4 linked regions of the Lepisosteus oculatus genome follow. The protein of the gene in region 2 purifies or fractionates together with the protein of the main gene of each other region. This does not show direct contact. Links are inferred from orthologs where the notes say so. Each region holds a gene or a part of one and is shown on either strand. Other genes may lie near its edges.

Region 1 (7,171 bases), on a different chromosome or scaffold from region 2:
AATATTACTTGATAAATTTAAGAACTCGGTGACCTGTACAGCAGAAATACTTAACTAGCCTAAGAGTTATATATATATATTACTTAACAACCATGTAACCTTGAAGAAGGCTCCAGGACAGAAATGTTGTGTTTTCCTCCTTCTCTTTTCAGCATGGAATAAACCTATTACATGTTCCTTGGCAGCCTATGCATGGTGACGCAGCTACCCACCTGAACTACTATGTAACTAACTATTCACTAAAAGCCCCTTTTCCACAATTGTCATAAAGCGGTACTTCAGAGGAGCCTACAAAGCATTGAAAACATCTTACTATTTGCACACAGCCAATCAGTATCGTGGTGCTTGTCTTTATGAGGATTGGCAAGTGGAAAGATTTCCTAACGAGACATACAAAACAATTAAGACTATTGATATTCAATGGCTGGGACTTTTTTGCCAACATTACTGGAAGGAAACATTCACTGTTAAGATTTTTTTCAGTAATTTCACAGAAGTGCTGGCTGGATTCATGCAGAAGAGCTTTTCATTTCAAAGTTTCTTCAATTCCACACTACACTTTCACATTTCCATAGGTACCCTACACAAACGTGAAAGGCTTCTAGGCACGTACCCCTGGCAGAGAGCTTTTTAGTGTTGATAATTTTGGCAGCATACTCCTGTCCAGTCGAGATCTTCACGCATCTCCTCACAACTGAGAAGGCACCCCTATAAAAATGAGAACAGACACAGAGCACTGCATCACTTGGCATAATATTTACAGTATACAGTATATGTAACATCCAATTTATACATATAAAGGAATTAAATACAGCAAAAAAGATCGACCTTCATATTTAAATATAAATACACATTTAAGATAATATGAACGATCATGAAAATATCTTTTGGACATGAAACATCCCTGCGGAATACTGTGCCCTATTAATAATTAGACCTCAGAGACTGGGCCTTTGGGAAAGAGCGGGTTTAAAAGAACTGCATCCCATTAGAGGTAATTTTTGTGCTTTGACATTTGTGTTTCTAAACCATCTGAAGTTAAACTGAACATATTAAAGACCTCAAAGTCTCTTGGCACTACCATGAATCATCATTTGGACTTAAGTCTAGGCGTAAGGCTGTAAATAGCTCTGCAAACAGAAGAAAGTGAAAATGACCTAATTGCACCCTCCCCCACACATTTTTTTACTGGCAGTACAGCAGATATATCTTTAAACTTATTTAATATGTAAATTGCTTCTTATACCAGCATAAGCATACCAGCTGTTTGCGTAAACCGTATTTAAACCATGGGATTTAAATACAAGCTTAACATTTTTCCACCCGCATTTATAAAAGCAACGTTCAAAATCCTAGGCGATGAACACAGTGGATTTCATTTACAAACGAGATATCAATGATGATATCAATTTGAAACTAAAATTCAAAATGAAGAACTACAGTATGTTTGGAAGGATGTCTAACCATTTTAACGGTCTCCATGTACTGTACAGTATGTGGACGGAAGACAACATCGATTAATTTAAATTCGTCCCATATTAAGACAGAAGCAAACAGCTACTATAATAGCAATTACAAAGACTTACAGTATAAATCTACAGGTCACCTTCTGTTACTTCCAAGTGTGGGGATATGGCAAAGCGTGTAATCCAATCATTAAGAACATGATCACACTATTATACAGCCGGATAGAGAGCCTGTTGCTTTTTATACACCTTAATTACTAGAAATCAAGACAGCGTGTGTTATGGGATATTCTGTTTTAAATATAAGGTGGGCACTGAAACAACGTTATTTTGTCTGCTTAGAGTGAACTCCTTATCGCATTGCACTAGCGAATGTCTAAAACACAAATGCAACACCGACCAACCCTTCGAAGCAGTCCACCAGATATGTACTGTAACAACAAAAATAAACACCCATGTATATGCACACTATTTAGAGCACATAGGTTATATACTGCATAAAGGAACGCAGATCGTTTAAATTTAGTTTCATTCAAGTCAAATTTTCACCAGGAGGTTACTGAATTCAAATAGACCCATAAGCACTGTTAAACGCGCAGTCTTACCCCTCTAGCTTACCGAATAACTTGTGCAATAGCTTACTGCTTGACATAAACATAGGTTTATTAACATCTATTTCCAATAATGAGAGACTTGCTTACTTCCCAAGCTCCTCGAAAAGCTGGTATTCGTCAGTAAACCTGGTACAGGTTGTTGTAGCCATGATGAAGGAAACGGGCTAAATGAAGAAGGAACAAAAATGCCTCTAAAATGTATCTTGTTAAGATCTCCCCGTTCCAGTCTTCCTTCAGTGGTTTCTTGTCCCAAAAAACAAAAAGTAAAAATCCAGTGGAGGAGATTCTAAAACGCCTGACTGCGTCTCAAATGTATATTTATATCACTGAATCTCGCTTGCGTTAGTAACGTTGAAAGCGGCAGATCTCTGCTGACACACAGCCTCTGTGTGCAATAACATTTCTCTGGAGTGCTTCCTGATTTTAGATACTGTACCAGATCTCCCCCTAGCTGTACTACCAATCTCCTATTTCTGCAAGAAGATGTCTACAGTAAATCGTAAATCCGAAGCGTCTATCTCTGTAGGCGAATAAGTGCCCTGCTTCTTATAGCGCCAAGACCTCTGAATCGGCTTTAGCCTTTAAAGGAAAATGTATTTTGAATTGTTCGATAACAACAACAACAACAACAACAACAACAACAAAAAGCAAACAATATGGGTCAGATGTTTGTGTACGGCGTGGTCATTTCGCTGTGTGGTGTACACCTGCGGTACACCAGCTTTAATCTTTAAAGGACTAATTGGTTTCGATCCACACAGAAACACCACGACTCATGTGCGCGCTGCAAAAACAATTTTCTGGCTTATATGTTGCTGGGTTATTTTAAAGAGTGTGCAGTTTTAAAATAATGCGATACATTGTGTTAACCACAATGTCTTGTTGCCCCCCCCCAATCACAGATCTGTATAACAGTGCCTCTACAATACTGCATGTTCGCAACCAGATTTCAGAAAGACGAATATAAATCCTCCCGTTTACCGCGAGAAACGGAAAAAGTAGTGCGAGAGTTACGTTAAACTGGGAGGAGAAACCACTTTTAACTCTCGTTGTTTGCTTAGCGTTATAGATCCGTCTGCGAGGGCCGAACGAGTTCGTCTTGCACAGATTAATATATTAATATTTGACAGTGGCACAGAAGGACGGTGAAATTTCAGCAGAGAATATTGTTGCTCGCTATTATTTTTTCTCATCCGACTGTAAAATTCTCTGCCCCTTATGTATTTTGAGTAAAAATGATAAGAGGAGAAAATAAATAGACGATAGGGATAAGAGCAGTATTGATTATATTGGAGCCTCCTCATCCTGAGTTGAGACCGCAGTAATGGCAAATGAATGCAACAGAATCAGTGATGTACCCGCGGAGGTTGGCTTTTCTTTGGAAATGTTTCAGTGATCATCCACAAAATCCCGTTTTCTTTTCCGAAATCTCTGAAAAATAAATACCTCAATGTTTCTACACTCAAAATTGTTATGAATAGAAACTTCCAGGTCTTCACTTTGTAATGCAGATCCAGCTATCTGTTATGCCTAACTCTACAGATGAAGAGACACTGATTCACCTCTCTTGAGACATAACAGAAGTTCATGCATTTGAAGAATAAGGGGTACCTGTAACTCACAAGGATCTGCATTGAACCATTTTCTGGTATTATCATCAAGCTGTTTACATAATAAACAAAACAACTAACAGGATATTATGAAAACAATTTTGATGAAAAAACTAAAGCAAGTTATCAACGGGGGGGGTGTTGTGTTGCCCAACAGTATGCTATTGCTTCACAACAATGTGCTTGTCATATTTTATTTTGGTCAAGCCACTGTTTTGTGAACACTAGTCTTACCCTACAGATCTGGTCTTGTGTAATTACTACCTGCCTTCAGATCTGAAATCTAACATTCGTGGGGTTCAATGGACTGCCGTTCACTGATGTCACGGGAGGACAGTGAGGGGAGACCATCTGTAAGCACCTTGTTTTGTAGTTAAGTGATATTGTAGATAAATGTATGTCTGTCAGCAGTTGCCCAACCTTTTGTGACTGTGTCTCAAAAACACAGGCACCATGCAGGCTAGGCAAAAAAGAAATCCCTGCTTAGCCAGAATTTAACACAGAAAACCAAGTCAATGCACCTTTATGAAAAAAAAAATCAAGATGAAGGTACTGTATGAGAATTTTGTTGGAGAGGTAAACAAGAGAATGTATGTGCCCTCAAAATAACCTGACAATATGCAGTATTCTGGTGGATATACAGTACAAAGCATTTACTGTAGCTGTTAGGTGGTATTTTACAGAACGCATAGTAGTGATCCATATTTAGGATATGAGTTTACTGCATTGTGTAACTTAGTAACAATTGTATTTATAGCTGAATGTGGGTTACATTATTGTTAAAGTTATGATATATACAGTATATTGTAGTGTGTATATACAGTGCTGTATTTGCAGTCAGCTGCTGTAGTGTACTTACCTTTATTTGGTTTTGAATTACTTCCCTTATTCATAGTTTGTAGGTTTGCAATATAAACCAACTGCCAATTTCCTGTTTCCTAAATATGGGGTGGGGGTGTGTCTGGCCAGCATTTATAAGCTCAGAGAGTCCTCTAGTGGCTTTTCTATGCTGAGGAGAGGGTTATGTTTTGTCCTCTATGGATTTTAAACAGTGGGTTTTATTTTAATGTTAAATCACCCCATTTTGTTTCACTTCAATAGGTAAACTTTGATTGTTGTTTTACATGATTTGCTCACATCTCAAAGGTTTTAAATTTATTCTGGGACATTTGTTTATACAGTACACAGCATGAGCAGGAGGAGAGGATTACGTACCATTGAGTGAATAGACAATGGCATCTTTACAAAGATTCTTCTACTCTGCAACTTGATGAAATCAAATCTTCATGCTTCCTTACCACAACTAAAAGTGAATATATTTATGACGTATTTAAATACTTTGCACAGGTTGCAAGTTGTTTTCTTCAAAAGTAAAGCATAAGTCCTTAAATTATCATACTCACCATTGACCAACTTTCCCCTTTAATATGACGATACTCTACACCATAAGATTCTCAAACATTTGTGTCCATATAAAACAACAATGCATTGTAAAACATTTACTGTATGCAACCAAAGACAGGAATTCAGATGGTTTATATGCTAACTATTGAAGTCTGTATTTAAAGTTTAATTTACAGATGCCCTCATAAACAGGCAAAATCTATTCCAGAATAGATTTATACAAGTGATTGTGCAGTACAGCTTTCATCCCTACAGTATAGTCGTTATTTCTCCAGCGGTCGGTAAAAGGTGACACTAACACATGAGGTTTTTGAAGGCTCATATTTCTCCTGCTTTTAAAAGGTGATTTTTTGTCTGGCTTGGTCTACAGATAGCTTGAGAACTTGTAATGTTATTGCCCAGTAAATGCTTTAAAACCTCAGAAAAACGTTTTGGTTCCCTGAAATTGGGAGAAGAGGGCAAAATCATCCTACACATGAATGGAACAGAACTGAGTAACCAAATTCCACAGATGACTCAGTTTGAGAGGAATGATGAGAAAGTAGAAAGCCATTGTTCCTCTTTTAACCACAGTGATCTGGGCACAGGGAGCTGCTGCTGTAATTTAATTTCTCAGAGCTCTGACATTTTTCAGTTTTATTTTTTTTTTCTTAGCCAAAGGTTGTGCAGTAGTCTCTTGTCAATTCCTGTTTCCTCCTAGCCAATCAACATCGAATGGCTGTGGCCTTACCTCAGCCCACACGGTGAGACTTACTCTTGTGAGCACCAGAGTTTTTCTTGATTTTCTGCCTCACTGCTTCCAAGTATTTAAAGCTAATGAGACAATACATTAGTAAGGAAGAAATCTCCAAATTGATACATGCTGAGTGATTTAAGAAGGGATGCTGCTCCAAAGCTATGCAATTGCATTTGTTAAATATCTGGCATAAAAAAGAATGCATTCATTATTTCATGTATCTTAATCTCTAGCTTTTACACATTATATAGAAAATGTACATAAGGTGTCAACATAAACATTAACCTTTTTCATAAGTAGCTGTTTCCAGCTTAGGAGTTCCCATTTTGTATTTATAGTTTATATTTTTGCTACCTGCATGCAAAGCCCAGCACATGTCTATCTTATCTTCTGAATCTAATGTGACATCCAATTCGTTATAAAAAATACAATTTTAACTCTTAAAAAGAACATATATGTAATATAAGTCCTGCCTGGTAGCTGGTACTGTACACTCACCAGTATCCAGAGGACATACTGCTTGTGTTTAATACATGATATTGTTAAATTACTGTAAATATTTATTCTTACAGACTGGACTTACTGCAGAATGTTTTGGTGATGGAAGTGTTATTTTCAAGGACGGTGAGATACTAATGCTCTGGAGATCCCGGTGGTCACCAACATCTGAGAGTTGACACCCCCTGTTTTTCTTCCAGCCCCAATCCTAGTCGTTTTCCCTGTGTTTGTCTCACTCCCCTCCAGATTCTGCCATCTGCATAGGGTCCTGAAAAACACTTCGTGACAGTCTTCTTCTATCTTCAGACTCCCAGCACTAACAAAGACTGTTCCAGATCCTTAAATCTTCAGCAATGTGAAGTGGCTTATTCATTTTTCCTGTGACATGTTAATACCTCCCTTAATAAGTGCTTAAGCAATGGTTTAAATGTGTCCACCTTGAGCAAGGTCTGTCAGTCTTCCAAGAGCTGGGTATCTACTGTATCTGAAAACTTTAGTCAGCACTCAATGCTACAGTACATGAGGTTTGTCTGAATCACAGATGAGGATATAAGATCATATTGTAGAGCATGATGATGAAATAAGTGGTTATTTCTATTAACTCACAATGTAGAAATGTGAACTATACTCTTTTCTTTGCTTCACTATTGATAAAACAAGTAAAACAAATCTCAAGAACTTTGGCTAAAATGTACATGTAAACAGAAAGTTTGGAAGATAATATTACAGTATATCTTCTTATATCTTTCACACATTTACAGTATATTTCCTGACTTTAATTACTGTACTAGGACACATCTGCCAAAGATCTCTGTCTGATCCTTGCTGTGTAGCGGGTAACTG
Region 2 (7,333 bases):
CTTTTCATTTCACAGGCAATACCTGTGGACACAATCTATAAGATGCATGTGTACATTTTGAGTACTACCACGTGAATACAAATGCAATAGTCTAATGTTGGGGGAAGCTGGATAACCTGTGTTCTAGAAGTCAAATGGTGTTCATGACTGTTCATAAGAGGTGGTCTACAGTATTAAATCAACAGTAAACAAGTTCTTAATGACCCTGGATCACTATAGTTTATGTTCTCAAAACAAGTGGAAGGGATTGCATAGAAACTTATTTGCTTGTTACCAAATGTCCTTTAACAGTTTTAGGAATTTATCTACTGGTCATGATCCTGAAGAATTTATCAGAAAGCTAAAGCTGTTATCTCAATAAGTAGTCAATAGACTTTACATAATCGAAAGCTATGAATAACTAGTACTTTTTTCATAGCATGGGAACTTAACCCAAGGTATTTTCTTTTGCTTTCCCTTCTGATTCTTTCTCTTGTGAGAATGTACACAGCGATGTGAGGACTCAAGAGACAGCTGCATAATGCCACCTAGTGGTAATATGTAAATCGTGACCATGTTATACACAATGTTACTACAAGGAGATACAAGGTTTGAAATCACTAATGAGGCACGTACAGTAAATGACTGCTATGTCACTGTATGAATGCTTAAGATACAACACAAGGTCTGGGAAAGGAACATTAGTAATCCATTATTTATTTTTATAAAACAGTAGTGAAGCAAATTTAACATGAACTTAGTTTCAATGTTTATATTGCAATTCAATACAGAAAATATGAAGTGGCTTCCCCAGTGTTCAAGTCGATTATTTAAAAGAGCTCCATCCATTTCCCTCTCTTTCCTGCAGCTGTGTGAGAAGGATGTTTGACTACACTGACTACATCAGCTGCAGCAGGGCATTATTAGGTTCTCCTTTGATACACACTCCAGAACTCTGACGTTTTTAAGTAAGTTAAGTATGTTTTTTAGGTATTTCACTCGCTCGAAGGTCTTCAGAGACAGTTTGCAGGAATGCTCTGCTGAGGCCCCAGCTGGGATCAGGGTCAGTATTTCCACACTACTTAGACAGTTTTGAAGCTCTGTGCTGGATTTTGGGTGCCAAGGGAACATGAGTACGAGTGATTATTTGCTCCTATCTGAATCTTTTTTTTTTCTGAGACTTTTGGCTGCCTTTGTTTGGTATTGCAGCACTCAGGAATTTGAAAACTGAGTAAGATCAAAAGGTGCAGTATAATGATAACCTGTTCTATTGAAGACCATGCATTTGCAATAACTGGCGGAGCGGTGGCCCTGTGGCTCAGGATCTGCACCTGTGACCGGAAGGTTGCCGGTTCGTATCCCGCGGCCGGCAGAGGAATCCTACTCCGTTGGGCCCCTGAGCAAGGCCCTTTACCCCAGCTGCTCCAGGGGCGCTGTACAATGGCTGACCCTGCGCTCTGACCCCCAGCTTCTCTCCCTGTCTCTGTGTCTGTGTCTCCATGGAGAAAAAGCTGGGGTATGTAAAAAGACACATTCCTAATGCAAGAAATTGTATAGGGCTAATAAAGAAACATTATTAGTTTTGATTGCTTTAGAATCATATCTTTTGGTTTGAGGAACTTTCGCAAAAATTTTGATTCATCATCATCATCATCATCATCATGATCGGCAAGCTTCATTGCGGAGGAGCCGCCCCCATCAGCCACCTTTGCCAAGCCGTGTCCAGGCCTATATCCAGAGGTTTCAGGTTGTCCTCAGCCGTGTGAAGCCAGGTCCGGCCGGGTCTGCCCCTTGGTCTCTTCCAGCCGGCTGGGGTTTCTGAAGCGCCCGCAGCTGTCGCGCGATGATGAAGATCCTGACACGGGGCAGCTCCTGCCATGTGGCCGAAGAAGCAGAGGAATATCGGAGATCGATCAACTGGGAGATTGGTTGGCAACCGGTGGTGCGTCGAACTTCTGCATGCGTTGCGTGTCTGGCATAGGGGATCTGCAGGATCTTCCCCAGGCACCACATGTCGCATGCGTCCAGCCGAGCACATAAAAATTGTGGTCGACCCTAATGCACATCTCCTGCTATGCCCCCAAGCTCTGGAACTCTTTACCCAAGGATATTAGAGAGTCACCTTCTCTAAACTCCTTCAAATCCAGACTCAAAACTTTCTTCTTCAGTAAAGCCTTTACTTAACTGGTTCCATTCTTCACCCCTCTGCTCTTCTTAATACCATCTTCCACGGTCTCCTCTATTGTTATTGTTGTATTGTTGTAATTATAATTGTGTCCTGTCTTGTGAAATTTTCTTATTTATTGTTGTAGTCTTCTTATTTATTGTTATTGTCATCCTGTAAAGCGCTTTGAGAAGCCACCTTTAAAGGCGCTATATAAAATAAAGTTTATTATTATTATTATAATGCGGGATCTCCAGTCATGTCTTTCGAGCTGCTTCATGCAGCTGGGCGCAATTGCCAGTTGTCGTAGTACTTCCATGCTGGAACTCCCTGATTCCTGAATGGTGCTACACAGGTAGACGAACGACTCAGGTTCTGGAACTGCTCAATTGAAACCCAGCTACGGATGAGGCTAGCATTCACACACTACATAGAACATTTTTACGATCAGGGCTGGATTGTGCGACCTAAGCCAGCGCTAGGAAGGCTGATAATTTGCTCCTATCTCCAACCTTTTTTTTTTCTTTTTTTCAAGACTTTTGGCCGCTTGGATGTTGCAGTGCACGGTTCAGGGATTGTATTCCAAAACTGGAGTCAGATCAAAGGTTGTAAGAAAGCCAGTTCTAATGGGTTAACACTTTCAAATGTTCCAAAAAGTTGGAGGTAAGAGCAAATGATCACTGACTTGGGCCCCAGAATCCAGAGCTAAAGGTAAAAATTGTCTAAGTAGCGTGTGAATGCTAACACTGACCCTAGCTGGGGTTTCAAATGAGCAATTCTGCAATCTGTCTCTGAAGCCCTCCAGTCACAAAATATTCCTCAAAGAAAAAAATAGGAGTCTAAAATAATCAAAACTAGGGAAAAAAAGCTCTTGGAAAATCAATAATTCTTCAATATACTGTATATTCTTCAATAAAAAATCATCTGTAGGAAAATTTTCAGCCAGCTGACAAACACTGTTATACTAGCATCATATAAATACAATTTAAACAGCCAATCTCAACGGATTGAAAATATACTGCAGGTTTCCAAACACGTAGCCTTGGAAAGCACGTTGCAGATTTCCTATATTTTTTTAACATTTCACACTAGATCTGAGGTGAGGTCTGGTGTTGTAACCCCGGCGTCCTGGCCAAATTTCCCATTGGCCCTTATCAATCATGGCCTCCTAATAATCCCCCTCTATGATTTGGCTATATTACTCTCTGCTCTCCTCCCCACTGATAGCTGATGTGTGGGGAGCGTTCTGGCGCACTATGGCTGGATTGTGGAGAAGCCAGGGCTTAACCAACAAGGCCGGACAGGCTCGTTCCAGACCCTTGACAGCTCTGAGGGTGAAGGAGTCGGTTCTTTTAAGTGCTCTTCCATGTACAGTGTTTTGCCCTTATTCCCCCTGGTTCGTGTTCTAACTGTTCGTTCTGAAGATGCCTGCTTGGTTCTCTTTGACAAATACTTTTGAGGATTTTCAGTACAGACAGTGCCCCCCCGGGATCATCTCTGATCTCTGATGTATATTCTTCAATAAAAAATCATCTGTAGGAAAATTTTCAGCCAGCTGACAAACACTGTTATACTAGCATCATATAAATACAATTTAAACAGCCAATCTCAACGGATTGAAAATATACTGCAGGTTTCCAAACACGTAGCCTTGGAAAGCACGTTGCAGATTTCCTATATTTTTTTAACATTTCACACTAGATCTGAGGTGAGGTCTGGTGTTGTAACCCCGGCGTCCTGGCCAAATTTCCCATTGGCCCTTATCAATCATGGCCTCCTAATAATCCCCCTCTATGATTTGGCTACATTACTCTCTGCTCTCCTCCCCACTGATAGCTGGTGTGTGGTGAGCATTCTGGCGCACTATGGCTGCTGTCGCATCATCCAGGTGGGGCTGCACATTGGTGGTGGTGGAGGGGATCCCCATTACCTGTAAAGCGCTTTGAGTGGATTGTCCAGAAAAGCGCTATATAAGTGTAAGCATTTATTATTATTATTATTATTATTATTATTATTATTATTATTATTATTATTATTATTATTATTATTATTTAGGGATTCAATGACACCCGCCCGCACGCCAGCTCCCTCGTTGAACTGCAGTTCCCCTACCAGCCTGTTCGCGGCAGGGCTGCGCCGGCGGTGACGTCACGCGTGACGCGGCTGTTGATGCCGGGCCAGCGCGCGAGGGAACTGTTTCATAACTCCGCGGGAAGAGTTGAAACTTACACAACGGAGCTGCAGGCGCGGAGGGACGGGAAAGGTTGCTTGTACATCGCATAAAAGCACATTACTCCTTGACAGGAATATCGGAGAATGCCAACAGCGGTGAGGTCTGTAGCTGAGCAAAGCAAATTTAACTCCGGTTGTATTCCTTATGTGAAATTACAACGAATGAAGGTGAGTTCTCTCATTACAGGAGTTTACACCGGGTTTTTAGCTTTGTTCTTGAGAAATTGTCGCCGATACTGAACCTTGGTGGTTGTTTCTTGTGCGTGGGAGCTCCGACGAGTGGCGGAACAAGTGTTTCTCTGCGTCAGGTTGATCTTCTCGATGATTACGTTGCAGACTTCACACAATGTAGACCACGCCACGGCCGCAGTAGAGCAGATGTAGGTTAATACGACACTGCAAGGATTTGGCTGCGGGTCTTGTTCTGTCTGCTTGAGACGCGTCTGAGTCAAGAAGGCTGCTGGTCTGTACGTGAAACCCCGACGCAAGGAAAGACGCTGCTGAGGAGGAAATGTAGTTACTGTCTTGCCAGGACCGTCTTCTTTCGGTGTACAGAACTGTTGTATCTGTATTTTGAGAGAGTTGTCAACTCGCTGTAAGAAGTCTTGGTGCCATGATTAGATGGGGGGGGGGGGGTTGTTATTTTTGCATCTCGGCAATCGTGGTACACGTCAGTGAGCCCTGCCAAACTCATTGCATATTTGAACTGGTTTTATTTAGTGGTACGTTTAATGTTTGTAATATAGAAATAAGCCGTCCGCTCGAGTGCATTGCGCGGAGTTCCGCTGTTCTTCGGGACCGGCGGCGTGACGTCATGCAGGATCTGGGTTCCCGGCGCGGTGCTCGGAGCTCTCCGATAGCGTCGTCTTTCTTATAGACCTGTCCTGACTTCCACACCCTCTACTGTACCTCGGAAAAAAGCCGTTTCGGGAGCTTACTGTGCGGTATATCAAATTTGAGCAGCATTATGCCATTTTATTTTTAATTTAAGTAATGTTTACCTCGGGAGATGATGTGAATAAAAGCCTCTGCACCGTGACTGTTCAGGAAAGAATCAACCTGGATTCATTCCGCTTTTGCGTTTAAAACGTGCTTGGTTGTGAGGATTCCTGCCACTTTATTATTATTATTATTATTATTATTAGTGGGGAAACTGGGATTGAAATCCCTTATGGTGGTTTTTATTGAGGAATGTGCTCCCGAGTATAGCAGGAGCCGAAAACTTCAGGCTGACGGATCAAATCTGAAATCGGCACGCTGTTTTTAGACCTCCACAAGCGCAAAACTGCAACACACCCTCCCAGCCTGTTAACCAAGTGGAGTAACGTTTTTTTTGGCCTGCAAACATCTTACAGGAGCAGACTCTGCTTCCGAGCCCCCCGGGCGCGGCTGCGGGGAGGAGCGGGGCCGCCGTGCCGAGAGAGGTCCTGCCCAGCAAGCGCCCGATGCGCAAGTCGCCCGGGAAAGCGCACCCGGCCCCGGGGCAGGGCGTCAAGAGAAAGGTAGACCCGTTCGCCCCTGATGGCCAGTCTGTAGCTGATCTAATTCAGCTGTTTCTTGATCGAGCCCCCTCGGGAGTTAGTAGTTAACTGATGCGAGGAGAAGCCAGGGCTTAACCAACAAGGCCGGACGGGCTCGTTCCAGACTCTTGACAGCTCTGAGGGTGAAGGAGTCGGTTCTTTTAAGTGCTCTTCCATGTACAGTGTTTTGCCCTTATTCCCCCTGGTTTGTGTTCTAACTGTTCGTTCTGAAGATGCCTGCTTGGTTCTCTTTGACAAATATCTTTGAGGATTTTCAGTACAGACAGTGCCCCCCACCCTGGGGTCATCTCTGATAAAGAAATAAAAAGGTCCAGTTCCTTCAGTCTGTCAGTGTAGGACGTTCGCTGAAACTCTCAGATGTGTCTGGCTGCTCTTCTCTAGACTGATTCCAGAGCTGCAACATCTTTTCTATTACATGGTGACCAAAATCCGACAGGATATTCTACGTGAGGCTGTGCTAGTGTGACCGTCGCGGTTCCGCGCGGGCTCGTGCCCTCCGCCACCCCGTTTCGTCCCGCAGCACCTGGGGCGCGAACCCGGGTCTCCGGCGTCACGCAACAGGGAACCAGCCCCATGAGCTAAAGGAGACCTCCCTCAGCCCAGGCAGCTGAGGTCCCTGCTGCGCCCAGGGAGGGCGCTGACGTCACCACACTAGCTCCGCTACACTAGTGTACTAGCAAGTTTTAGCATGAAATCCTTTAAAGGTATAAGATCCCAGGGAATCGGCACCCACAGTCCTCAGTTATAGAAACCTCAAAAAAAGTCTGGGGCCTAGTCAGGTCAGTCACGGTGGGGTTTGGTTAGAATCCAAAATCAGGACTCGTAGAAGTTGATTGAGGGTGTTCAACAGAGCCCACTTTTCTCGATCTGCAGTGATTAAAGGGAGATTGTACAGTGACGGAGTCCAGCATCACACAAAACAAATCAAAAGCAGACGCAGCTGATTACGTACGCCTTCTGTGCGTCGCAAAACTGTGCCTTTTACAAAAGGCCATTCTTCTGACGGATGTTTTTGTTATTTGTTATGATATCTCGGGAACCCTCTAATTCTGTCTCTCCCGTGCTTGTTGGCGTGCTCAGCTTCTGCGAATTCATGCTTAGGTGCACGGCCCAAGCCTTTCTTTTTAAAACTGATTATGTTTTGGTGTTGGATATTAAAGAAAAACTGAGCAAATATTCTATAGAAAATGTCCTTTTGCAATAAAACATAATCATAAATAGACAAAAAAATAATTTCATGCTTGATCACAGCATTTGAAGAGATGATAGCCGACATGTTTACTGTGCACTTTGTCGTCTGTCAGGAGAGACATTCGTCGTCGGATGAGCCTGCCGCGTCACGGAGCAGGTCCAGGTCGGACAGCGAGTGCAGCAGTGACAGCGAGTGGGAAGGCCCGGTGAGGTTTCTGCACAGTCT
Region 3 (7,979 bases), about 44 Mb from region 2:
CTAATGACTTTTCTTGAGAAAGTGGAAGTTATGAAAATGAAAGCCAACAAAAGATTCAAGCCCTAGTTTTTATTAACAGAAGACATTTTATTAATCTGAGGTTCATTAATTTTTTAAAAAAAGAAACAGGAATTGAGGGAATGTGGAGACTGGTCCTCATCCATTTACCTAGTGTTGAAAAGTCAATGGCTGCTGTACTTTCAAACAGTTTTAATGTCAAGATACTTAAAAATACAAGAGTATTTTTTTTCTTTTTAATGTATTTATGGTCACTTTATATTTTCTTTTCTGGTGCGAGCAGATCTCTAGTGCAAAGACAGGCACTTTTTGGGTTTTAAAGGGATGAACCTTAGGGCTGTAAAACATGAACAGACATCTTATTTTTGGCTTTTTGCAGCGTGCTAATAGTATTTTTTTTACTTAAATGTATTACTACCTGAATTACATTGTTTGTTTCTTAGGCTAGTACCAAAACAGCATTCATTAATAATGGATTCTGTTAATACCATTTTTTGTTGTTTATTGAAATTATGCATTAAAAATATTTGAAATACCTGATAATGTTGAATGTTGTTTTTTTATGCAAACATTCAGACCTTAAATATTAAAAATAAAACCATAATTTCTGTTCATTTGCACCAAACCAGTTGCCATATACTGTATATTACTATCACTGTGATATGGCATGTGATATACTGTAACACATCACCATACCCAACCCTATACAGTTTCTAAAGGGTAAGTATAGTTACACCCACTGCACGAAATAATGGACATTGCAGAATATTTCTGACTTTACAAAAACTATGTGATGCAGCATATACATCTTGCCTGGCTATATAACAGCAAAATGCAAATTTCGTCGTACCCAACTTACAACAATTGACTGCTGAATGTTAAATAAGATTCTTTGCATTCCGTTTGTTAGATTTATCTGTGACGTAAATGAGGAATGAGTGTAATTTGTTAAGGAAAAAACGAGTATGGAAACATGGTATGATTCTTCAGAATGAGGAAAATATTTAAATACAGCATGAGGCTAGCATTTTACATTATGATGCAACTCTACTACGCAGTGATGTGAGAGAGAGAGCTGTATTCTGTTTTTGCAGCACACTTCAGTCCCGTATGACATCAGGCTTACTAGGCACGAGCGTGACTTCCATCTATTCATTTGGAGTCTTCCTGGAGCGCTTTGGTCGGCTGGACCCCCTCCTCCAGATCTGGGCAGTGACCCTGTCCTGCTTAGTCACTGCACTGAAATCCAGTGACTTTAAATGAGGGAGTGCTGAAATCACGTAGTTCCTAACAACATTAAGGACACGGGGAAACGGCAACTGTGAGAGAAGGCACGTGGCATGAGTGGACTACAAATAGTAAAAGACGAGATTCCCGATGGGAATGCGATTCTCAGCATTTTATGCATTTGGAATGCATGTGATGCATGATATTTGACCTAGATGTTTTACTTGTAAAATACAGCAAAAATGTGAAAATGGCTATGCTCTTGATTTGTTTCAAATGTTTTTCCATTGCACTGATCAGATATAGATCTCCCTCACTGGCATACAGGGCAGATCGTAACTTGAGATCCAGCTCAATAAAAAACATGTCAAGAAGCAAAGCGTCTCCTGATGTTCTGGGCACCTGTTCTTTCTAGCACCAAGCCCACCCTAGCTCGAGAAGCATCATGACCAGAAAACCAGTCTAAATTAATTTTCCTGGAGCGGCCTGATGCAGCTTGCTCCATTAGAAACACGAACCCCAAAAAGGACATTTTGAGTGTAAAAAACACAAGGTTGCAGAAAACGATAGGAAGCTTTCTGTAAGCTCCGCTTCACTGACCTGTAGTCTTTCTCATTCTCCAGCGTGTTGCCGTGTAGAGTCAGGCTTTGAAGGTGAGGAAGAGCCGCCAACTTGTCCACTTCTGATAGTCTGGAAATGCTGTTTCCGTGGAGATACAACACCCGTAACTCCCTGAACTCAGTTAGGATCTGGGGGGGGGCAAAGACATAACATGACTTCATTGGCTTTGACTCAGTGATACTCTAGGCCTTTGGATTGCCGGCCTGTCTTCAAAATGATCCTGATCGCCTCAAAGATCGTATTACTGGACACTGCTTCACATATCTACTGCAATACATTTATCAATAGAACAGGTAAAGAGAAGAAAAGAAAGACAGCGTCTCAGCTGTGGAGGAACCTTTTAACTGTTCCTTTGCTGTCCATGCATGCTGATGCAGCGCCATACCTGAATGTCATTAATCAATAGTGTAACAGAAGTCCACAGTCGTGTTTACTATGCTCCTGTGACCTGCTAGTTCTGCTTATTGTAGTGAAAGGATTTTTCTGTTAGTGCTAGCAGGTGGAACTCTCCACACCTGCTGTGCAGCCAGAAGGAAGCATCACAGTAGCTCTTACTGGGTCGATGGTAGACAGGTCATTGAAGGACAGATCAATCCAAGACAGCTGTTTTGGGTCATCCAACAAGGCAGTAGAGGCAGTGGCGAAATCACTCAGGTTTGAGAGAATATTGTTGCTCAGCCTCAAAGCTTTGCTGCAGAACTTCCCTTCTGGGGTACGATGGACAGGCTTCAGACCTACATTGGGATGCTCTGACAGGACATCTGCAGGAAAGCAAAAGAACAGGCCGGGCGATACCTTGTAGTAAAGACGGCACGGCCGTGAGAGAACAGTGCATCTTTCTGTTGAAATTATTTAATTTTAAGACAAGGACTGGAATGCCGTTAGCAAATATGACTGTAATTTATTCAAGATCGCAAGAAAAAACTAATGCCTTTTTAATCTTAATCCTTGGGGATTCTGTGTCCCATTCCACACACAAAAAAATCTAGCGATGTTTTTTGGGAACAGAACGGAAAACTAATTTCACAGCTACATGAAACAAATTGCATACTGAAGATTAAGTATACATTATGCAGGGAGATACCTTCAGGGATTTAATCATGGATGATGATGCAGGAACAGGATACTGAATGAATTGTATTGCTATCAAACAGCTATTCTTTTTTTTACCTGCCAAGGAACTGAGGCATTTAAACGAAAAATCCACAGGAGGGCCATACATTTTGCGGCCCTTAGGCGCACCTGTAAATAAAACCGACAACAGAACAAAAGGTAACATCTGCCAGACCAAAGTAGCTGAAAGTGATACAGATTATTTCCAATCGCTGTTCTAACTTCTAAAATTGAAAAAAAAAGATTGCATATTAATAGCAGTTAATCACTACATGTCAATACAAACTTTTGAAAACCTCCTAGAAAATTTCGGGACGACAACGACAATTAAAAACGCTCCCATTTACAACATGAAAAAAAGAATAGGTTTCTCCCAAGCCACACAAAAATCTAACACAATCTATTATACCAGAGCAATACTCGTTTCCCCACTTCGGTCATTAAAAACATAACTCACCTGGCACCTCTTCAGTTCCTACCGCAATGTGCTAAATAATACTGCGACTCTGAAGCAACAACACTTCATTTCCATGACGACCGGAGAACGTGGCTTTGTGGGAATTGTAGTACTACAGCTCTGTAACGCTTGTAGGACTGTTCTTGCCATATATACGGAAAGGCTCCGGGCTGCGGCGACCCTCGCCAGGAAGCCACGTGTTCGCTATGGTGCATGGATTGCTTCTACACTACTATTTTCCACCAGTCAGTTTACTGAAGAGCAAGAAAATGCACCACTCCTCGCTATACAAACATTGCACATGAAATCAGGATTGCTGTCATTAAATCACAACTCAAAAGTACACTATTCTCTTCAGCGTTTTCTAATGTTTAATTTGACTCCTGTTTTGCACGAATTCGGTGGTTTTTATAATTGTGTTTACAGTTTTTAAACACTTTGAGATACTGTCACAAAAAGGGGCATATAAAATAAAGGCTATTGTTAATATTGTTAATATTCTGCTGGATTTCATTTGGAGAAATATGTTTGGCCACAAAAAGATTACAAATTGCAGCTCTCTTTTGGAGTTCAGGGATGGCTGAGCCGTCTTGTTGCTTGTTGTACGAAACTGCACCTCGTCACTACAAGATGTCTTCAAGGAAAAGTGCAGCTGGGAGACCTGTAGATGGCGCTATTTCCTCCGAGTTATGGGGAGCTGGGATACAGCGTTGTAGGATGCACTGTCTGGCAGGAGAGACTTAAAAATATGCGTTTTTTTTAGGAAGATGAGTGTTAATCCTGGTTAAATTGGGTTTGCACAATTTTTATATGACCAAACTAACCCCTGAATTTAGCTGGTGAAGTAATTTCTCACTTTTCTATGTAATGAATAACCGGGCTGTTGGTGCTCAGTGACGGTACTGCTGTAGTGTTTTAAGTGAGCCTCCTTTTATATGTGAAGGGTTTGGTATGGAAAATACTGTACTAATGCAAGCAATAATTATTCTTTTTATTATGAGCAGGCTGTTTAAAAGCAAGACGGGTGTTCTTTTGGTTAGGGTGAATGTTGGTTTCTCCAGGGCAAGCACACCATATTTTTATATATTTCTTTGCAAGTCAAAACACTCAAACGTTATCTATTTAGTCTTTATGTTGTATTTTAAAGTCGATAGCTTTATTTCATGAATCAGAAATCGAAATAATCTTTAAACTCCATTTATCCTACTGTGTCGAGTTAACGTAAAGAATATATTGTTTTCATAAGTCAGAACAAGTACTGAAATTGTTAAAACAGTAACAGATTCTTTGTCATTAGAATTGGACAGTGTCTTGACAAATTTCACAACCGCACCTATATAAGGGGATTTTTTCTACTTTTGTTTTGTATACATTTTGGTTTGTATTAAGACAGAAAGTGAGAGTTTATTATTATTAATATACACGCTGCGTTAAACATGCAGCAACTATTGATTTATCCAGTTCACCGCACTGCACCTTGGGTGATGTAACCTAACCTGATGGGATGTGGGCGTGAACTTTACGTGTGCGGAATCTCCTGACGTCGTGCGTAGCCAATGAACGCATCCGGTGATCTCAAGCGCCGAAATTTGAAAACGATTAGACAGGCAGAAGGTGACAGTGAAGGGGTTATGGTCTATTGTGTATTTTAAAGGTAGGTTTATTTTCCCCTCCACCGTCCTGATCACACTTTTTGTAAAACCAATTATTTTTAATAATTGGTTGTTTACTTTGAAAGAAAACTTTTCATCTTTGTTATGTTCCTGACTGCGGGTTTGTATATTTGTTTTCTTGACGGTTAGCGTTTACAGATGTGATATAAAGTTTTGTGTGCATGCTAACGCACACTAGAGTCTTTGCAACCCTAACTATATACTTAGCACCGTTACGGTGGGGGCTAGCTATATTGAAGTCAGTCTCCGTTTGACTGTCGATAAGCAATGATTAGAAAACTGATTAGAAAAGACGAACAACAGAAGTCATTCTAAATGTCTTGTTTGAGCTCTGTCGCATAAGCACAACAGAGCAACGACCGAAATTTGGTCAAAATGTTAATTTGCTGCGTCTGTGATGTATGCGCGGTTGTTCGTGTTATCTAGGATTAAATTCGAAATCGCGTAAAACCCCTTCTTTGACTCGGTTGATATGATCGCGGTTACGAAGGAGTTCCCAGGTTAGCAATCAGAACCACTCGTGAAGTCGGTAAGATTTCCAAAGTGAAATGTTTAGGTGTAAATGTGAAGGATCTCTGATAGAGTCGGAACTCTTAAACTGGGGCCAACAACCCAGGGGAATACGTTGGTTTTCTTTGTCTAGTATATAATTAGACTAGGACTCTAATTTCTTGGTTTAGGGTGTGTCGCCTATTTTAGACGGATTTTCTGTTAGTTTGAAATCTGAAATGACCAGTCAGTGAGTTAATGAGTAAATCCTCCACAAGGAACGCCCTTTTCCCAAACAGGCTTCTGAAATTTCAACAAGATTATCCCTTGATGACGAAGTTTGTTTTTCCTAGTTGCATGTAAGAACTACTATTGCGGTAGCGCGCTAGCTAATGCACAACAATCTTTGCTCAGCATGTAACCGTGTGATGTGGGCCTATATATACTGTATATGTTTTCAGTCAGCTTCGTTACCAATTTGCACCGACCTACACTTAAAGGTCTTTGTTTTAAAATGCCCAAGGTCTTTAAGTAACTTGGTGGTTCTGTGTACTTTTAAACGGTGGACACATTTTTCCCATTGAACAGATGAAACTGATACTGTAACTGTATCAATTAAAATATTTTCGGTGTTATTTTCCTTCTAAACCAAAAAAGAATGACTTCAAGCAACACCTTTAAGAACGGTCTTTTTAAAAATGACGAATCTGAACAGTTTGCTTTTAGTGCATCAAGCATTCAATTGTAAGTTGTTTTTTTCTAAAAGAAAATGTATTGGTTAATATTGAATATTGGAGAGAGACAGCAGAAAGTGAAGTCTGAAGACCATTATGAGTATCGATCCTTAATAACTGACTTTGATTGTATCCATCGAACGTTGTATAATTAAGGGCAGAAATGAAAGGTAACATAATTTAAACCATATGTACATATTATTAAAATAAGTGTATCTTGTTGGGTTCTAAACCTGCTCGCTCACTGATATTTGAGTCCTAGATCGTTGTAGCTGATCCCACTGCTCAGTTTGCTTTAATACTGTATATAACATTACTGTTGCTTTTTCTCATGATGAACAATGATTTTCCTTGTTGTCCACTGGAAAATTGTTGCTTTAGGGTCCTTCACGTGAAGGACTTAATCAGTAGAGATTCTCATTTTCTAACAGAAATGTTTGAATGCATAATTATATTAAGATGATGGTTTGTGTTCCAGTCATGAAATGTTTGTGCTCGTTTATAGATCTAAATAATTACTCAAAGTTTGCTTTCCAGCAAAGCAGTGCTAGTATTTTTGCAAGTGACCTTGAGTGCCAGTTTTGCTCACCAGTTATGCTCCTCCTGCAGGAGACAAGAGAGCCTGTATTGCTAGCAATGGCTCTTCATGAAACAAAAGAAGCTGCTCTGTTGATTTGGGTAAGTGTTATTACTGCTAAAGCTTTTTTTCTCTTTATCCTCTTGTAATGGGCAATATAGGTCTTGGCTTTTGGTGTTAAATTTCATGTTACTAAAGGCATCTGCTTGTGTCAGCTAGACTGTGCTTCAAGTTGTTGTGGCCAAACTGCACTCAAGTGAAATTTTGTGTCAAGCACAAAGCTTTCTTTACATAGGAAACATCTGCTTAGTTTGCCACACATCGATTCCTTTCACAGTGTAGTTTCTTTTTTTAAATTTACACAGTCGCAAATCTCTTTTTTTTCCTGTTTTATCAGATCAACAGCCTCAACTTAGAAGAACCTGTTGACAAGATCTCCAACCTGCAGGATGGCCGTCTTTTAGTTAAACTGATATACAAACTGTAAGTGGCATAGCCTAAACTCTTCAGTTTATGGTAACAGCTGAATGGGCACAGTTTTCATAGCACTAAGTGGGTGCAGGGCTAGAGTCCCAGAGGTGTCAAGAATTCCAATTTTAGTTCCAATTAAAAAAGTTTTTAACTTAACTGAATAAATTGTTTAATCAAGTTATAATAGCTGAGTAAAGTCGACTGGCATATGCGGGGGTTAGATATTTTGAGTAGTGCTTAAATTTGTGTGTAGTCAAATTGTACCCTATGACCTTTATGTAAACTCCCTAGTAACCTCTTAATGTATCACAAGATATTTAGTGTTTTTAAACTTATATTTAATATGATGACTGTATAGGCTTACTAATTAGTTCTCCTAGGCCTGCTTGATGAATGTTTCAGAGAATTAAGTATTTTTCATTTATTTTCCTGAGCCAACTGCGTAAAACTGTAAGTTGAGAGTGCATTAGTTGCAAGTCGACTGTATTTGTGAAACCTGCTGACCTGGGGCACATGCAGAACGGTAGTGCACTTCACTGATATAAGAGTTTTTACTTGCATCCACTTGAAGAATTATAGGGCCCCATGTGTTTGTAAGA
Region 4 (7,291 bases), on a different chromosome or scaffold from region 2:
ATCCGGCGAAGGTACGTCTCAAACTCTGCCTTTCTTCTCTCCCTGCCAATGCAGCACCACATCTGTCACTAACACATCAACTTACAGGGACACAGCAATGCACATACACAGAAATAGAATAACTTTACAACAAGCGATTAATTACATTTGTAATTGTACAATCAAATGATTGTGAAAGCATCATTCAGAAAGATGGTCCAGGTGTGCCAGTAACCAACTGCCCCTCCTCCATGCCAACTTATTTCCAAAGAGGCCAAATCAAATATTTTTCACCAAAAATACATACAGTAAGTGCTGCCTGCAATTTGTATTGAAAGTGTTAAGTTGTCTGTACATTATGTACTTTCATTCCAACATCCACTATAAAATATTTACTTTTTTTAGCTTAAAAAAAAATCCTTTTTCAAATGTGAACCTATACCCTTCAGAAGCAAGAGATACTGTAAAATCATGCTTTGTGGCACACTTTTATTACTGTTGTGTAATTGAGGGTAGTGCTGTATAAATGTTTGTCCATGCAGCTCTAGAGTTGTAACAGGCTCTGCTTCTTGCCTTCTCTGTCTCTTCTTGGCTTGCTCAGGGGTTTCAATCTCTATCTCCACAGGCTGAGAGGGCAGAGCTGGCTCTGAGGGGCCCAGGGAAGAACACATAGGCTCATTGAGTTCTGTGAAGAAAGTTCAGAGAAACAAGGACTTCAGCCTGGAAATTGCTACAGACTTACACAAGGAGACATCGCTTATGGTTAAGGGTCTCCTTACAGGTAATGTAGAGATTGTCCGGAGCACTAGTACTATATTTTACTCAAAATGAGCTGATCCAACGAATTTGGTTAGAATTGTTTCCACTTAAAATATAACAGAGATAAAAGTAGTGTATCCCATTTAGGCCAGAAACCCATTTGATTCAATTATTTCAAATATACCACAGGGTCCAACAGGGTCTTCCACTTGGTCAAACAGACCCACAAGAATTCAGGAGAAGGGCAATTTCACCAGGAAATGAAATGTATCCATACTGTATATGCTCTGCAAACTAAAGTCTAACATTAGATTTTCAAGCATGACATTGTCATTCTGAGGTTTGCAGAACTTATAGGCAGCTCTTATAAGACCTAGATACACATAAGCAATGACTTTAACACTTCAAACCAAATAATATATACTGTACTGCCTCACAGTCTCCATTGAAGACTACAGTATATCATATAGGTAGCTGTGTCACCATGTGTAGGCTGCAACGGAACAAGTAAACGTTCATTCCATGCTGAAAAAAGAAGAAAAGAAACACAACGTTGTTTCTTTTGTGGAGCCTTCTTCAGGTGTCATATCCCGATGAAGGCTGAAACGTTCCGTTTCTTTTCTTCTCTTTTCAGCATGAAATAAACCTTTACTTGTCCATTTGTAGTATATGATACCTGCTCCTTTGCAACCCTCAGAGCTGCCCAGTACACGTTAATCCACTTAAAAATAAAAAAAGTGAAAAAATAAAAAATACATGCTGTTTGGCTTACCTTCAACATCTTCCCAGTCCTCATCACTCTCCTCGTCTTCGTCCGTCTCCTCTTTCTTCACCACCACCGCGGCTCCCTCACGACCCCAGCCAGCCTGACTGCTGCCTTCCTCCTGTCTGGGCTGCACGTGCCTGCTCGCCGGGACAAGTCGAATCATATCAGTCATATCCCAGACCACTCCTTCACGCGGCCAAGCACTGTGGGTGTGTCTTAAAGAGATTTTAAAGACTGGCAGACAGCACTTCTACTCCTCATTCTGTACACCCAGCTTGAATAGTACGGCTTGCTTGCAGTACACCGAAAAGCTAGGCACTCCTCCTCCAAGATGACAAACCTCAGGAGTGTTAACAAGCCACCATTCCATTCTCATAGCTGTATGCCAAGAGTCATTAAAATGTCAACTGGGAACGACTCCCTGTTGAGAGATACTGAGCAACTCGGACTTTTACCGATTTTTTTCATCATCATCATCTTCTTCTTTTATATGTGCAGGCTCTTCTTTGACTCCCTTGGTCGCTCTGTGGCGTTTACTCGTCGCTTTTGAAGTTTTAGCAGCAGCCCCAGGCACTTTTTTACAGTTGGTCGCGCTTTTCTTTGCGGCTACTGCCTTCGGAGCATCACCTTTAGGGCGCCCATCCTCTGAATCAAAAGAAGAGTTGTGTGACGAAATAAGACCCAGGTCTTTGGTACTACACGTAACTGTTCGCGTACCCACGTTTTCATAATCTGAAGTCATGAATGAGAAGAGTGCTTATATTTGCATTTAGGTCGGGAGGGGGTTGCTTCTGCAACGCAAAACATTTTAAAACATCAAAACCCCACCACCTGCAGGATGTGCTGCAAACATCTCAACGGTATATTTTCGGACTCCACGGAAACCACATATTGTATTTTATATTACTACAATTCCTGGCCATGTTATTTACGTTAATGTTAATTATCAGTTTCATGACGAACAAAAACAATAGCCGCTGTTTAAACTCACTGATTAGAAACAAAAAAAAAACTGATTTTAATTCAAGATACCGAGATACACACGATTGTTTTAACAAAATCAACTGTTCATGCATTTTTTATATATGTAAAACGTTACCGGTATGCACAATAGATTACAGAATAGCACAGCACAGAAGAATCACTACCATGCTAACTTACCTGTAATCTTTTTTGCTGATTTTTTAACAGTCTCTTGCTCTTTCCCCTTTGTGACCTGCTTACATTTCTTGCTATCTTTTTTTGCGGCGGCATCAACTGACCCTTTTCGCTTGTTGGCCATGCTCGTAACAGGCTGCAGGAACTTTAGTTGCAACACAAATAAAAACATGCACGACCGACGTTACTCGAATGAACTTCGGTTTCCACCGTGCGCACACTCCATAGAGTTTAACTTATGTAACCTCTTTCATTTTGCAGGAAGTTCCCCCAGACTCTTGTTGTACAATGCCTGAAGCTTTCATAACATTCTCCGTATCATTTGTTGTTATTCTCCCTGCAGACCAGTTTCAGAAGTGACGTCGAACGTCAACTTCCGGCCAATAACATGTCCGCCATCGGGGTGCTGATGTAGCTGAATGTTGTTAGCTACACGTGGTTGTACCTGACTTGAATATACATGTTTACATGGAATGATATTTCTTCGATGTTTTTGCTTACTTCGACAATGATATTCAGTTTATGCAATGCAAAAACTTGAATTAGCGAAAGATACATTATCAATTCTTTCCGAAAGACCCCTTCGTTTAATATACAGTATATATGCAGAGTTGCTCAAATGAGTCCTTTTGCATGTGCATAGATTTACTTTTCGTCATCAGCCCAGGCTGTAAAACGAAGCTGCACGTGTGTAGATATGCATATCATGCACTACAAAATATTTTGGAGAAAGTTAAAATATATTTTTACTTCTCAGTCAAGAACTTCGTATTTATTTTCATGAGAAATAACATGATTGATGAGTACAATTTTTTTTATTTTGGATAATTCCTTGTAAACATTTACTCACGTTAACAAGGTACATTTAATATTCAACCTACTTCTGATTTCAAAGTGACCTTTTCAAGTGTTTTGGGACAGTTTCACTTCAAGTGAAATTCTCAGTGTAAATGTCAGTACGCATGCATGAAGCAGCTACCCATTGAGCTCACTAAAGTTAATAATTTCAGAAGCCTTTGCTGTAGTTGTTGGAATACCAACCGTCTCTCGACGACTGGAGTTGTCTAACACTGTATTTTGGTTTTCTATTTTATTTTAAGGAACACTAGGTGGAGCCACAGGCAAATATTTTGCTTGGTAATATTTCCTTCTCCTAATACGGGTCTGCTAACTGGGTGAAGGTGGTACTGTACTGTATATGTTCACAAGAATTTATAGAATGAACTGATGTAAACCCAGAAGCTGACCTACGAAATTAAAAAAACAACAACTTTACTCTGGTAATAAGGTCAGTAAATTTGATCTTTTTGGTAAAATATATATTTGCTTACTCTTTTTCTTTTCATTTACAGCACTAAAGTAATGGTACAGTATTTGCAATTAAAGTACTTAATGTGTTTTTCGATTATTTACAATTATGTTATGCGACTCTGTATATAACCCAATCTAAAAAAAATCTATACTGTGCCAAAATGCTAAAACTGTCTAAAGCATTACATTTTCTTCAAAAGAGAAATTAATTCGTATGTATTGAATTGTTTTATGTTCTGTCTAATTCTGTGTTATTGTTTGGCTTTTTAATCAGGCTGTAGAGTATCTCGCAATTCAGCCACGACAGCTTCTTTAGGTGGTTGTGAAGCCAGCTGGGAAGGTGTTCCTTGCAGCATTCTCTGAAGCTCACCGATGAAGCGCTATGCTCTGTAGCAGGGGTGAAAGAATACCAGGCTTTTCGGTGCAGGTTTCTGGCTCCCATTTTTCAATGCATGAATTAAGGATTATCAATCAAGCATGCAAAGGATTGGTTGTACCAGATCCTAAATTTGAAGGTCTGGTGTTTGCCAGTCCCTACTCTACTCCTGTGTAATACAGATAGACAATCAAGTAAGCATTGTGAAATTGTAATAGAAGCTCTTTGTTCTGTAATAGCTAGGCGGGAAAAACATCATAAGATATGGAACAGGTATAATTTTTAAACGAGACAACTATCTACAGATGATCTGTAATCATTTTGATTCATGCAGTTTTTCAAGTGTTGTTGCATTTGCTCTTTTATTTGCACATTGTTCAGCTTTTTCCTTCATTGACCTCAGTTTCAGTGTGTGGCACCCTTTCCTGTATGAGTCCAATATCCCTCAAAAGCCCACATCACACAGAGCCATTTACTGTATGTTTTGGCACGGTCATCTTGCACGCTGGTTCTGAGCCGGCACTTGCTTTGAATATTCAAATCTTTCACAGCAGATGTCCTAGTTTGAATAGGATACATCTCTGAGAGAGAAAAAATAAATGAAGCATAGTTGATTAATGAAAACATAAGTTCTGGCAATACACATATTAACAGTTCTGCAGCAGGTCGGTACCACCTCTTCACAACATAATGTAGGTATTTCATTATAGAATATTGGTACAAGCACGTCTAAGCTCATGTTTATGTCTCATGTCATACTGTCCTTTATCTGATTTTCTGGTGCAGTTTTTCTTGTTTTCTTTGAAGATCAGCCAGTTTCTCTGTTTTCAGTCGCTGCCTTTGCTGAATTAAAATCACCATGAGACCACGAAATGACATAATTCTTCCCATGTGACCGCCTTTTTCTTCTCCTTGCAAATCCAGTTCCAGACTGTGACGAGATACCTGTTCCATTGCTGTGCAGCGCATTTTTCCCACAGTGAAATGTTGGATCTGCACTATTTGTTCTAACTGGAGATGGGGGAGGGGATTAATTCCACCCCAGCACAGAACATGCTTGAAGTTTACATTTTAAAGTAAATAAGAAAACATACGTGGAAGGTTTAGTTTTGTGGCTACACCAACAAAAGAACACAAAGATACAAGATTATATAAGCTGGTGGACTTTATTTCACACATTATCTCACAGTTTAGAATTACATAAAATGTACAACAGGACAAAACATGGACTTGATCAATCTCCCTGATAGTGTCTTTCCTTTAACCATACACAAAAACATGAAAAAGGAACAGAACATGTAAAAGAATTAGACAAAAATCTCACTAAGTGCTCCCAGTTTACACCTCATCCTAAATTAACCCATTTATGTGTCTCCAGCACTGTCATTTTATACATATATACTGTAACAATATGGTGTTTACAAAATTGAGGGTACTAAGAGATGTATACAAACATTGAAGTAGACAGAAGTTAATTGAAGAGATACATCTCCTGTGTCCTTCAAAAACAGATGTAAAACTTTATTGCCTTAGTTACAGGACCTGCTGTTCTGATTGCTGTGTTTTGAACTTTTTAGAATAGCAAGATGTCGGGATTCTAACCAGCAGTCTTCCACTTGTGTAACAACCCTGCTCTGAGAGGTTGGATTTTGAATGTCTAGAAACCTTCACATTATGTTAAACTGATTAGATTAATCATTCTGATCTTTGCAGCAGGGTTAGATTACATATGGTAAATGAAAAGACATTTAATGGAAGATTAATTGAATGTCTTAGTTTTACTTCATTTCAAAACTTGCACAAAATGACCACTTTAATAAGTGAAAATCATGAACTAGGAAGGACTCTCATTTGCACCGGAAAGTGTTTCCTTTAAAGAAAGACTATATTCATCTCAAGCAATGTGTAACATCCAGATATGTAACACTTTACTTTGTAACTACAACAAGATCTGTGGCCTCTTCCGAGGGTGACTTTTTCATTTGAAGCCAATGACAAAACCCAGTTTGGTACAGCAAAGACAGCATCTGTCCTGTCCCATCAACATGTGGATACTGGTATGCTCTGAGGCAAACAGGATAAGAAAAAGGGAACTAATTCTGAACACTTTTCAGCACCTACTGCTTTTGTACTTATGGCACAATACGTTGTTTCTTTCTGTAAAGAAACACTCAGAAAAGTGATTGATAGTTAATAGTTGGTACTTGCATTTATACACTACTTTTTTAAAGGATTGTCACAAACCACACGTAAGCACTTCTCACCGTTAACATCCATGCACTAATTAATCAATTATCTTTCTACACACTCTTCCCTCCATCTTCCGTATTTACAGTATACCCTCTCACTCCACTCAGTCTCTGCTCACTAATGAGGTTGCCTCTTCCGAGCTCAACCCTCGCTTTACGTAGTTCGGGAAAGAAATACTTTAAACCAAATTGTCTTTTGGCTCTCGAAACCCTAGCTCAATCCTTTGATTACGCCATTGCTTCATGTTTTTAGGATTTGGTTACTTTTGGAACTTTCCGGAACCTTTCCTGGATTAATCTACCACAGGCTGGCATAGGGAGTGGCTAACCAGCCTCTTTGCTGCAACTCCTGATAGGGATCCCCAAAGTATATTTTCTAAAATCAAGAGAAGTGACCCCCTCTGTCCCCCACTGAGGTGCAGTACCCACAAGGGTGAAGTGTGGCAGCCATTGTGAGCCAGCAGCCCCATTATACAGCAGATAAGACAGCGCAGTGAAAAATTGCTTTATTAATTGAATCTGGGGGAGAGAGGAGACATTTACTTGGTCAGATTGTTCAAGCCCAGACTGGAAAGTAACAAAGACACTTGTATTTTCACCAACAGCACCATGAGGCCTTTAATCAAAGGACCACATTTTAGCATCTTATTTGAAGGATGGCACTTATTACAGTTCCCTTCTTGGTCACCATAC

The links.
Region 1: the proteins of wdr76 (region 2) and camk2d2 purify together in Homo sapiens (affinity purification with mass spectrometry; 3 studies listed by BioGRID and IntAct, counting the BioPlex papers as one, with this or other methods). This does not show direct contact. The link is inferred for Lepisosteus oculatus from reciprocal best matches to the Homo sapiens genes WDR76 and CAMK2D.
Region 3: the proteins of wdr76 (region 2) and numa1 purify together in Homo sapiens (affinity purification with mass spectrometry; 3 studies listed by BioGRID and IntAct, with this or other methods). This does not show direct contact. The link is inferred for Lepisosteus oculatus from reciprocal best matches to the Homo sapiens genes WDR76 and NUMA1.
Region 4: the proteins of wdr76 (region 2) and xpc purify together in Homo sapiens (affinity purification with mass spectrometry; 3 studies listed by BioGRID and IntAct, with this or other methods). This does not show direct contact. The link is inferred for Lepisosteus oculatus from reciprocal best matches to the Homo sapiens genes WDR76 and XPC.

What each region holds. Positions count from the first base shown.
Region 1 is NC_090696.1:69,085,315-69,092,485, forward strand, and holds the start of camk2d2 (calcium/calmodulin-dependent protein kinase type II delta 2 chain), read right to left. Parts: upstream 3,021-7,171; 5' UTR 2,230-3,020; coding exon 2,168-2,229; intron 709-2,167; coding exon 614-708; intron 1-613. UniProt on the Homo sapiens protein: Calcium/calmodulin-dependent protein kinase involved in the regulation of Ca(2+) homeostatis and excitation-contraction coupling (ECC) in heart by targeting ion channels, transporters and accessory proteins involved in Ca(2+) influx into the myocyte, Ca(2+) release from the sarcoplasmic reticulum (SR), SR Ca(2+) uptake and Na(+) and K(+) channel transport.
Region 2 is NC_090700.1:56,865,705-56,873,037, forward strand, and holds the start of wdr76 (WD repeat-containing protein 76), read left to right. Parts: upstream 1-4,312; 5' UTR 4,313-4,459; coding exon 4,460-4,543; intron 4,544-4,711; exon of another isoform or gene 4,712-4,842; intron 4,843-4,850; exon of another isoform or gene 4,851-5,319; intron 5,320-5,730; coding exon 5,731-5,877; intron 5,878-7,220; coding exon 7,221-7,313; intron 7,314-7,333. UniProt on the Homo sapiens protein: Specifically binds 5-hydroxymethylcytosine (5hmC), suggesting that it acts as a specific reader of 5hmC.
Region 3 is NC_090700.1:12,738,966-12,746,944, forward strand, and holds the start of numa1 (nuclear mitotic apparatus protein 1), read left to right. Parts: upstream 1-4,970; 5' UTR 4,971-5,090; intron 5,091-6,941; 5' UTR 6,942-6,968; coding exon 6,969-7,010; intron 7,011-7,306; coding exon 7,307-7,392; intron 7,393-7,979. Other genes in the region: lrrc51 (leucine-rich repeat-containing protein 51), read right to left, coding at 1,167-1,305, 1,846-1,994, 2,422-2,627, 3,037-3,088. UniProt on the Homo sapiens protein: Microtubule (MT)-binding protein that plays a role in the formation and maintenance of the spindle poles and the alignement and the segregation of chromosomes during mitotic cell division.
Region 4 is NC_090699.1:55,825,664-55,832,954, forward strand, and holds the start of xpc (DNA repair protein complementing XP-C cells), read right to left. Parts: upstream 3,005-7,291; 5' UTR 2,835-3,004; coding exon 2,666-2,834; intron 2,150-2,665; coding exon 1,960-2,149; intron 1,642-1,959; coding exon 1,511-1,641; intron 665-1,510; coding exon 553-664; intron 43-552; coding exon 1-42. UniProt on the Homo sapiens protein: Involved in global genome nucleotide excision repair (GG-NER) by acting as damage sensing and DNA-binding factor component of the XPC complex. Has only a low DNA repair activity by itself which is stimulated by RAD23B and RAD23A.